Linked DNA regions of Drosophila melanogaster. The protein of the gene in region 1 interacts with the protein of each later gene in a pairwise test. Each region holds a gene or a part of one and is shown in the gene's direction. Other genes may lie near its edges.

What was found.
Region 2: the proteins of Prx2 (region 1) and MtnB interact in a two-hybrid assay, tested with the Drosophila melanogaster proteins (one study listed by BioGRID).

Annotation. Positions count from the first base shown.
Region 1 is NC_004354.4:13,327,976-13,332,805, forward strand, and holds Prx2 (peroxiredoxin 2), read left to right. Parts: upstream 1-1,848; 5' UTR 1,849-1,989; exon of another isoform or gene 1,990-2,055; intron 2,056-2,423; exon of another isoform or gene 2,424-2,704; intron 2,705-3,043; exon of another isoform or gene 3,044-3,146; coding exon 3,147-3,731; 3' UTR 3,732-4,019; downstream 4,020-4,830. Other genes in the region: IP3K2 (inositol 1,4,5-triphosphate kinase 2), read left to right, coding at 176-286, 413-790. UniProt on the Drosophila melanogaster protein: Thiol-specific peroxidase that catalyzes the reduction of hydrogen peroxide and organic hydroperoxides to water and alcohols, respectively.
Region 2 is NT_033777.3:20,502,331-20,505,450, reverse strand, and holds MtnB (metallothionein B), read left to right. Parts: upstream 1-1,832; 5' UTR 1,833-1,920; coding exon 1,921-1,945; intron 1,946-2,006; coding exon 2,007-2,113; 3' UTR 2,114-2,349; downstream 2,350-3,120. Other genes in the region: Or92a (odorant receptor 92a), read right to left, coding at 1-656. UniProt on the Drosophila melanogaster protein: This protein binds cations of several transition elements. Thought to be involved in metal ion homeostasis.

The DNA of each region.
Region 1 (4,830 bases):
AATAGCCAACCCAAAAAAACGAAACCACTAAATTAACATACGACTATGTGAATGAGAAGCGTGTGCAAAGTGCCAGGCTACACATTTATCCTTAAAGTCAAATGTAAACATTAATTATTCATTCAGAAAAGTTAATGGAAAGCCATTAATTTAATCGTCTAAACATCATTCGCAGGGCATCAAGAAGAGCGATGGCACCAGTTCCAAAGATTTCAAAACGACGAAGTCACGCGAACAAATCAAGTTGGCCTTTCTCGAGTTCCTCAGCGGTCACCCACATATTTTGGTGGGTATTCAAATTAGCCAAGCATGCCCAGTTGAATGCCATTAACTTGGGGATTCCCTGCGCTTGTCATTACTTTTTCTTTTCTTTTTATTTTATTTTCTTTTCTTTTTTTTTTTTTGCATACAGCCCCGCTACATACAGCGTTTGCGAGCCATAAGGGCCACCCTTGCGGTCTCGGAATTCTTCCAGACCCACGAGGTTATCGGCAGCTCCCTGCTCTTCGTCCACGATCAGACCCACGCCAGCATATGGCTAATTGATTTCGCCAAGACGGTGGAGCTGCCGCCGCAGCTGCGGATCGATCACTACTCCGCCTGGAAGGTGGGCAACCACGAAGATGGCTATCTCATCGGTATCAACAATCTCATTGATATCTTTGTGGAGCTGCAGGCATCCATGGAGGCGGAGGCGCATGCGCAAGCGCAGGCGGAGGCCATTCAGTCACCCGTTTCTGGTTCTGGAGGAGATCAAGCGGAGCAGACGGGTGAAGAGAGCAAACCCTAATGGGAAATCCATACATTTCCACACGGAGGTTTGGGGCTGGGCCCCGGAGACAAAGACATTTCCAATTTCCGAATCGATTAATCCCCAATTCCTAGGCTTAGTTATACATTTTTTTTTTGTTTTTTTCTAACAGTTTGCGTACATTTAACCCCTTAAGTTTAAAATCAAAGACTGAAATCACAATATGCATACACATATTTTTTAATATATACGATATACGCGTACATATACATATATAGAAGATATATAGCCTGGCCTATATGTGCTGCTGCTGCTGCTGTAGTGTAATTTATTTATCCAAAACAAAAAAAAAAACAAAAAAATTCACGTTTGGCGAATCCTAGAGATACCCGAATGGCTGGAGATAATACCCACAAGGCAGTTGCAACTGTCGATCGTAACGATACGAAAAGTAACTAAGAAATGAACACACCCAACACGCAACAAGAGCTTAGACTAAGTTTTTAATATAATGGTTATGCGACTACCTACTAAATACTACTAATTGTGCACTATTAAATTCAGTTAAAACAAAACGAAAAAACGAAAGTACTTGTTTCAATTTATTTGTGGAGATTTGTGGACCACAGAATAGCATAATACATAGAAAATATTATTTGCGCCAAAGTGGAATAGAAATGGTTATTATAAACAGGAATCAGTTCTTTAACTACATTATTTATAATGGAAGAATTAAAAAAAAGCGCGGTTTTTTCATTTTGGCGGCAAAATGACGACCAGTGTGACCGTTAAGCTGGTGTGCCCGAATTATACTAAAAGTACTGCTCAGTACATATTATTACACATTATTTATTATTAGTAGTAGTACTTGTTTCCAAGTCTATCAAAAGTTATTAAGCGCTACTATCTTAAAACTTGAATATTAAAACTTACCATTTAAAATGTAGAATCCACTTTTGAAAAGCACGCCAATAGTTGATAGATGGCGCTTTAAGCACTTGCTAAAAAATATCGATGAGCAGCGTTAATCGGCGCTGCCTATCGCAAGCGGTATCCGTGTTGCGGCAGCCCTGGTCGACCAGCATTCGCTTAATTTCAATCCATTCGCGAATTTCAACTCGTGCCGAAAGGTTTGTTTGTGCGAAAGCTGAAGCTGCGAGAGAACGAACAAGAGGAAGCCCACGCGGAAGTCAAGCAATTACCGAGAATTACTAAGAGAAAAAATATAACTGTTTAAAGTGAGTGTTCCTTGGGCGATGAACAGGTCGCTCATTCTGGGCAAAGTCGGCGAGAAATTGCGGAGCGTAAGATTAGAAATTAGCATCGCTGTTGTTGCTGTTGTTGTTCTTTTTCGATGAGCAAAAGATAATGATGTTCATGTTCGGTCGGCAGATTCGAGATTATTTCACAACTTTTTGCACCGAGAGCATAGTTTTTTTCTTCACATTTCGTTCTTTTTTTTCCACTTTATTGGCACGTCCGTCGCACACACTTACACACACACGTACACGCGAAGAGCCGGCGAAAAAAAGGGCACAAAAATGAAATCAAAACTAGAGGAAAATATTTGCCAATTCAGAAATAAGTTTGTGATTTGTAATTAATTCGCATCCATTACATGAAATACGCGAACGTGCCGACAGTTCAATAAATTCAATCGCATAAATGGGAGCAGTCGAAAAATTTGGCTAATTTATTATTCCGGGTTTCTTCCATTTCGCTTCGCTCGGCGGCCATTTTGTAGAGTTCAGCTTTTCTACTCTCCTCTTTGATCTTTCCAGTTTGTGGCGAAATATCTGGAAGTCAAGGGTAATTGCCCTTAATCGTTAGTAATTGCCGCCATTAGAACTCCGATTTATAGAGACTTTTAGTATGGAATTAGCATCAAGTTAACTACTTTACAATTGAAAACCAATTGGAAGTTACATAGGCAAGATTAAAGGTTATAAAATAGTAAGTTTACTACAAAATAGGTATATTGCATATGAGAAATTTCAAGAATTTCGTAAATATTTCCAATTTTCATTCTAAGGGCCTAGCATAATATTGATTTCCCATCATAATACTTTAACAGTATCTATTCATATTAATTTCCATGATTTCACTAGCCTCTATAAATGCAATTTTTTTAAACAACGGTTATCTTGTAATAATCCGAGGTTAGAGTGATGAAATTTTTGTTTTTTGTGGGGCCCAAAAAATCTTGATAGATAAGATAAGATGCGTATCGGTCGAAAGAGGAAGTATCAGTCACAGCGAGATTTCAAGGGGACCATATGAGGGATTTACAATTGAAGTTCTCAAAAGAAGGCGACTAAGTTCAGAGCACTTTGTTGTTAATTATTCGCTAGTTTGAAGAAACATGTCTCTAATTCGCCATCCATTCATTGAACAGATGCCCCAGCTACAGAAGCCCGCTCCCGCATTCGCCGGCACCGCCGTCGTCAACGGTGTTTTCAAGGACATCAAGTTGAGCGACTACAAGGGCAAATACCTGGTGCTTTTCTTCTACCCGCTGGACTTCACCTTCGTGTGCCCCACCGAGATCATTGCGTTCTCGGAGAGCGCCGCCGAGTTCCGCAAGATCAATTGCGAGGTGATCGGTTGCTCCACGGACAGCCAGTTCACCCACTTGGCCTGGATCAACACGCCAAGGAAGCAGGGTGGTCTGGGCAGCATGGACATTCCACTGCTGGCTGACAAGTCGATGAAGGTGGCCCGCGACTATGGAGTGCTCGATGAGGAGACTGGCATCCCCTTCCGCGGCCTGTTCATCATCGATGACAAGCAGAACTTGCGCCAGATCACCGTCAACGATCTGCCCGTAGGTCGCAGTGTGGAGGAGACCCTGCGTCTCGTCCAGGCCTTCCAGTACACCGACAAGTACGGCGAGGTCTGCCCCGCCAACTGGAAGCCCGGCCAGAAGACCATGGTGGCCGATCCCACCAAGTCCAAGGAGTACTTCGAGACCACCTCCTAAAGAGGCTATCTGTTCGCTGAACGGGGCCGCTCCTGGCGAGTGGGAGTGGATTCGAATCGCAAACCCCCCGTTCAACTAAAACCAATACATATACTACATTATATATCCTACACATTAACCCTAGAGCGTAGAAGAAGAAGAAACTGTGAGGCATCTTTCCCTGCAACAGCGCCACCCAAAAATAAGATGATAAACACCTGCAGACGCTAAGCGGAAAGTGATTATTTTTTACGTATATTTTGTGTGCTTTTTTTTTTTTGTAATTCACCACAATAAACGATTGTACGGAGCACGTGGGTCTTTATCAGGGGGTGGCGGGCGGACTTTCGCCTCAAACCTCTGGTCTTATCATCCGGGGAAACATTTCCACAAAAGAAAAAAAAATGGAAAGAAATAGCAGCGGGCGACTTATCACCGTCTGCGACTGGCAATTGCGAAATTGCAAATAGACTGAATCAGAATGCCAGGAATGCTTCGCTGAAAGAAATGACGAGTGACTTGTGCACAGTATACAAATCTACATGTGATGTCTAATTAAACCCGGTTAATAATCTGTTAACATGTACTTGTAGTTACCTATTAGTTGTTCCACATATTCTGTAACTTTGTTACTTTGATGTGGCATTTTATTGCAGTGCAGACAACAGCTGTTGGATTGGTGACACAGTAACCGAGTGCACAATTCCCGTTTTGCCACCATCACCACCCATCCATTTCAATGTTAAGCGCAAGCGAGAGTCCTCTAGTCGACGTGGATGTCTCGCATATTAAACGGGTCTTGACTCTACCGGTATACCCAGATATATATGTATATAAATATATACGATCTGCCTGATTTGAACCCCCTTTTGTGATCGCAGCGTTTCAACTATTACGTGTAGTTCGCGTCGCATCCAACGAGGTGTCTTCGGCGTATCGGATCGAATCTCTTTCACCAGAACCAGTTCCTCCGGGTTATATACATACATACATTTGTACATTTTATCTGGCTATCTACATATGTACATGTGGCCCAGCAGCTGCGAGGCAGTTTATTTACTGCCCGTGGAACCTACTGGAAACAGAACCCTTTCTCAAAGTCAAGTGGTGCGATCTGATC
Region 2 (3,120 bases), on another chromosome or scaffold:
ACGTAGGAAACTCCGGCCACATAGGCACAATGAGCCAATCCCCAGTAGGAAAACCAGTAGACCGTCAGATCCGTTTCTGCGTCGTAGGGAAACAAAATGTGAAATCCGTAGTTGCGCTCAAAGATTTCCGATCCCATAAGGTAATACTTTATGGTCGACTTGATGGCTGGATAAAAGCTAAATGACGAGGTGTAGGTCATGCAGAGGATGGTGAATAGGGTCATGACCCTGTTCATGTGTTTCCGGTAAAACGATACGTTATACTTCCGCTGCGCTTCTAAATCTAAAGGAAATATCTCCTTGAGATCATCCAGCAATCTGACCAATCGCTTTCTATTCACTGTGAGACCGAACTGCTTAAAGTCGGCCATGAAGCTGAAGCCAATGCACGGTGCCACTGCAGTGGCCTCCAAAAGAGTAGTCGTCGACATTATATGGACTATAAAGTACGCGATTTCGCCCACCACATAGGCATTGAAGTTGAGAAAACCGAGTACCAGATAAAAACGTAGCAGGTAACGCCTTATCACATTCGGATCCCTATCGGAGTACAGATCCTCGCCGATGGTCTTGTAGAAAGTCATCGGAAACCGGGTAAGTTCGTCGAAGGTGATGACTTCATCGTCACTTTTTGGCTTACGTTTGCGGAACAGCATGATTCAGCTGTTTGATCGGCTGACAGAATAAGTCTTAGGTTTATATAGCTCCCATCAAAAGTGTCCCATTAAATTCGCATGAGACACCCTTCGCTGACCTCATAATTACTTAATTTAATTTGGGGTAACGGAACACCTGCCACTTGACTTTCTAAAATATTGAGTTCTACAGGAATGTTCCCAGGACTACACGGAGAAAAATCGAAGGACACTTTGGGGACGAGAGGATATTCATGCAATTTGTGGTAAGGAACTGAAGTCATACTCTAACTGAACGGTGCTGGCTGGTCAAGTTATATATGTTTATGTGATGTTAAATATAAACCTTGTGGTCAACACAAGCACAAGAATCAATTATATATTCATTATACTCGTTAAAGATATTTTTTTTTTAAGGTAAGGTAAATAAAATGGTAAAAAAGTAAAGGTAAAAAAACTAGCCGAGTTAGAGACTGCAGGAAACTTATCTAAGTCGTTCTTTTGTTGCAGGTACACCTAGCAAAAAAAAAAACAACTAAGTCAGGCCTATTTCTATATTTGTTCTCGAAAACTTTTTTTTTACTAAAAGTCATAAATATATATAAAGTTGTTCCGGGTGTTTGGTTTTCCGTGCAACGAACTGTTTTCGTAGCTCCCGCAGAGCTTATAGTTTTTGCCTAATTTGCAGCGCGTTTTTTCCTCTATTAATTTTTAGTTAGCTTTCCACATGTGATATTTTTATGGCATTTACGCTGGGTTTTTTTTGAAAAGAGTTTAGTCGTAAAGCGTTTTTGCAGCCAATATGAGCATTTAAATTTGTTTTACTACAGGAAAGTCTTTTATTTATTGTGAAAAACCCCGCTGGGTAGCTGCCTGCGCTTTTCATGCTTTTTATTGTGTGCTTCTGGGCTGTGGGCTGAGTCACGATACGCGGCGTATACGCAACGTATACGCAACGTGGGCAGCTGATAAGCTGATGAGGAGTTCGTGTGCACCGAGTTGGCGAGCAATCGCGTGCGCAAAAAGAATTGCCTGGCCTATCGTCTGATAAATTGCGAACCACTCGCCCCAGACTTGCACACGACGTGATAAGTTGGGTCAAACAAACAAATTTGTTTTGGATTTGTGCAATTTTGCACTCGTTCGAGTTCGAGGCAATCGAAGTGGGTATAAAAGTGGGGGAGTTGCCGGACTGGGTCATCAGTTGAATAGCCAAGCAACAAGCAAACAAGTGAATATCAGTTCGCCTCAGCCAAGTGAAAGTCGAGAAATAGATACATACAAGATGGTTTGCAAGGGTTGTGGAACAAGTAAGTGGTACAACGCAGCAGCAAGCTGTATAATTGACAATCGTTCTCGATTCCTCGACAGACTGCCAGTGCTCGGCCCAAAAGTGCGGGGACAACTGCGCCTGCAACAAGGATTGCCAGTGCGTTTGCAAGAATGGGCCCAAGGACCAGTGCTGCAGCAACAAATAAGCGGGCCAACTATATAACTAACTGTTTAACTTCTAAACTGGAGCTTAACTCCCAACGAGTTGGCCGCAATAAATAAAGTTTATAAAGATTTTGAGCATTTAAAAGTTTCTGCCGTTAACTTTTTGTTACTGGGCGGTCGGTCATCTTACCAAGCGATAATTATATTTTCGGCTTTTGGCAGCTAAAACCAATTATGGTAAAATAATAAACGTGAGCTGGCATTCAGTTAAGCAAACCGCAAAATAGAATTACATGAAAAATAAGCAAACGCAATGCGACAATTTGGGCGGGATTTGCAAATATTTGTATGTTCGCGGACAGCTGCACCGGAATTAAAATCCAATCCATCAGCCGTGATTTTGGTAGAAAACTCACCGAAAGTCCATTGAATTGTGCGCAAAACGGAACATAAATCGAAATAACATTCAATTTTCGTGGCCATCGAACTGAAACCAAATTATTTAGCCGCTTTTATCTGCGACTGAACTTTGCCCATATGCCAATGGCCGAAATTGCAACCCACTTTGTTTTGAATATAAAATGTATTTCGCTTTTGAGGCAATTTCTCAAAAATGTTGTGCCGATTTTATTGCATTTTCAAAAAATACATATATATTCTGCTCTACTAGCAGCAAATTCCTCCAGCGTTATGTTGGGTTTAATAGTCTGCCAATGGAATAGATACGTTTTGTATCGGCCAAATAATAACTTTCTGGCCAAGTTTTATTTATTTAATAGCCTGCTACTGCTACCCATTTCACACACTTTTGTTTAAAGAGCGGTCGAGCTTTCCATTCGAGTGGCTAGGCCTGAGTTTCCAACTGTCAAAACCAAATGACCAATTAAAATACAGGCACTTGTGGACAATTTCAAGCGTCCGTTTCCGGTGCTTGAGCTGTCAAAATATTTATGAAACAACAGTGGTTCAGATCCATTAGCATAATCAGAGGTGCGTGATTGAGGCGTTTCCCAAAGACCTTTGTTGCGTGCTCAGGTCGTTTTGTTTT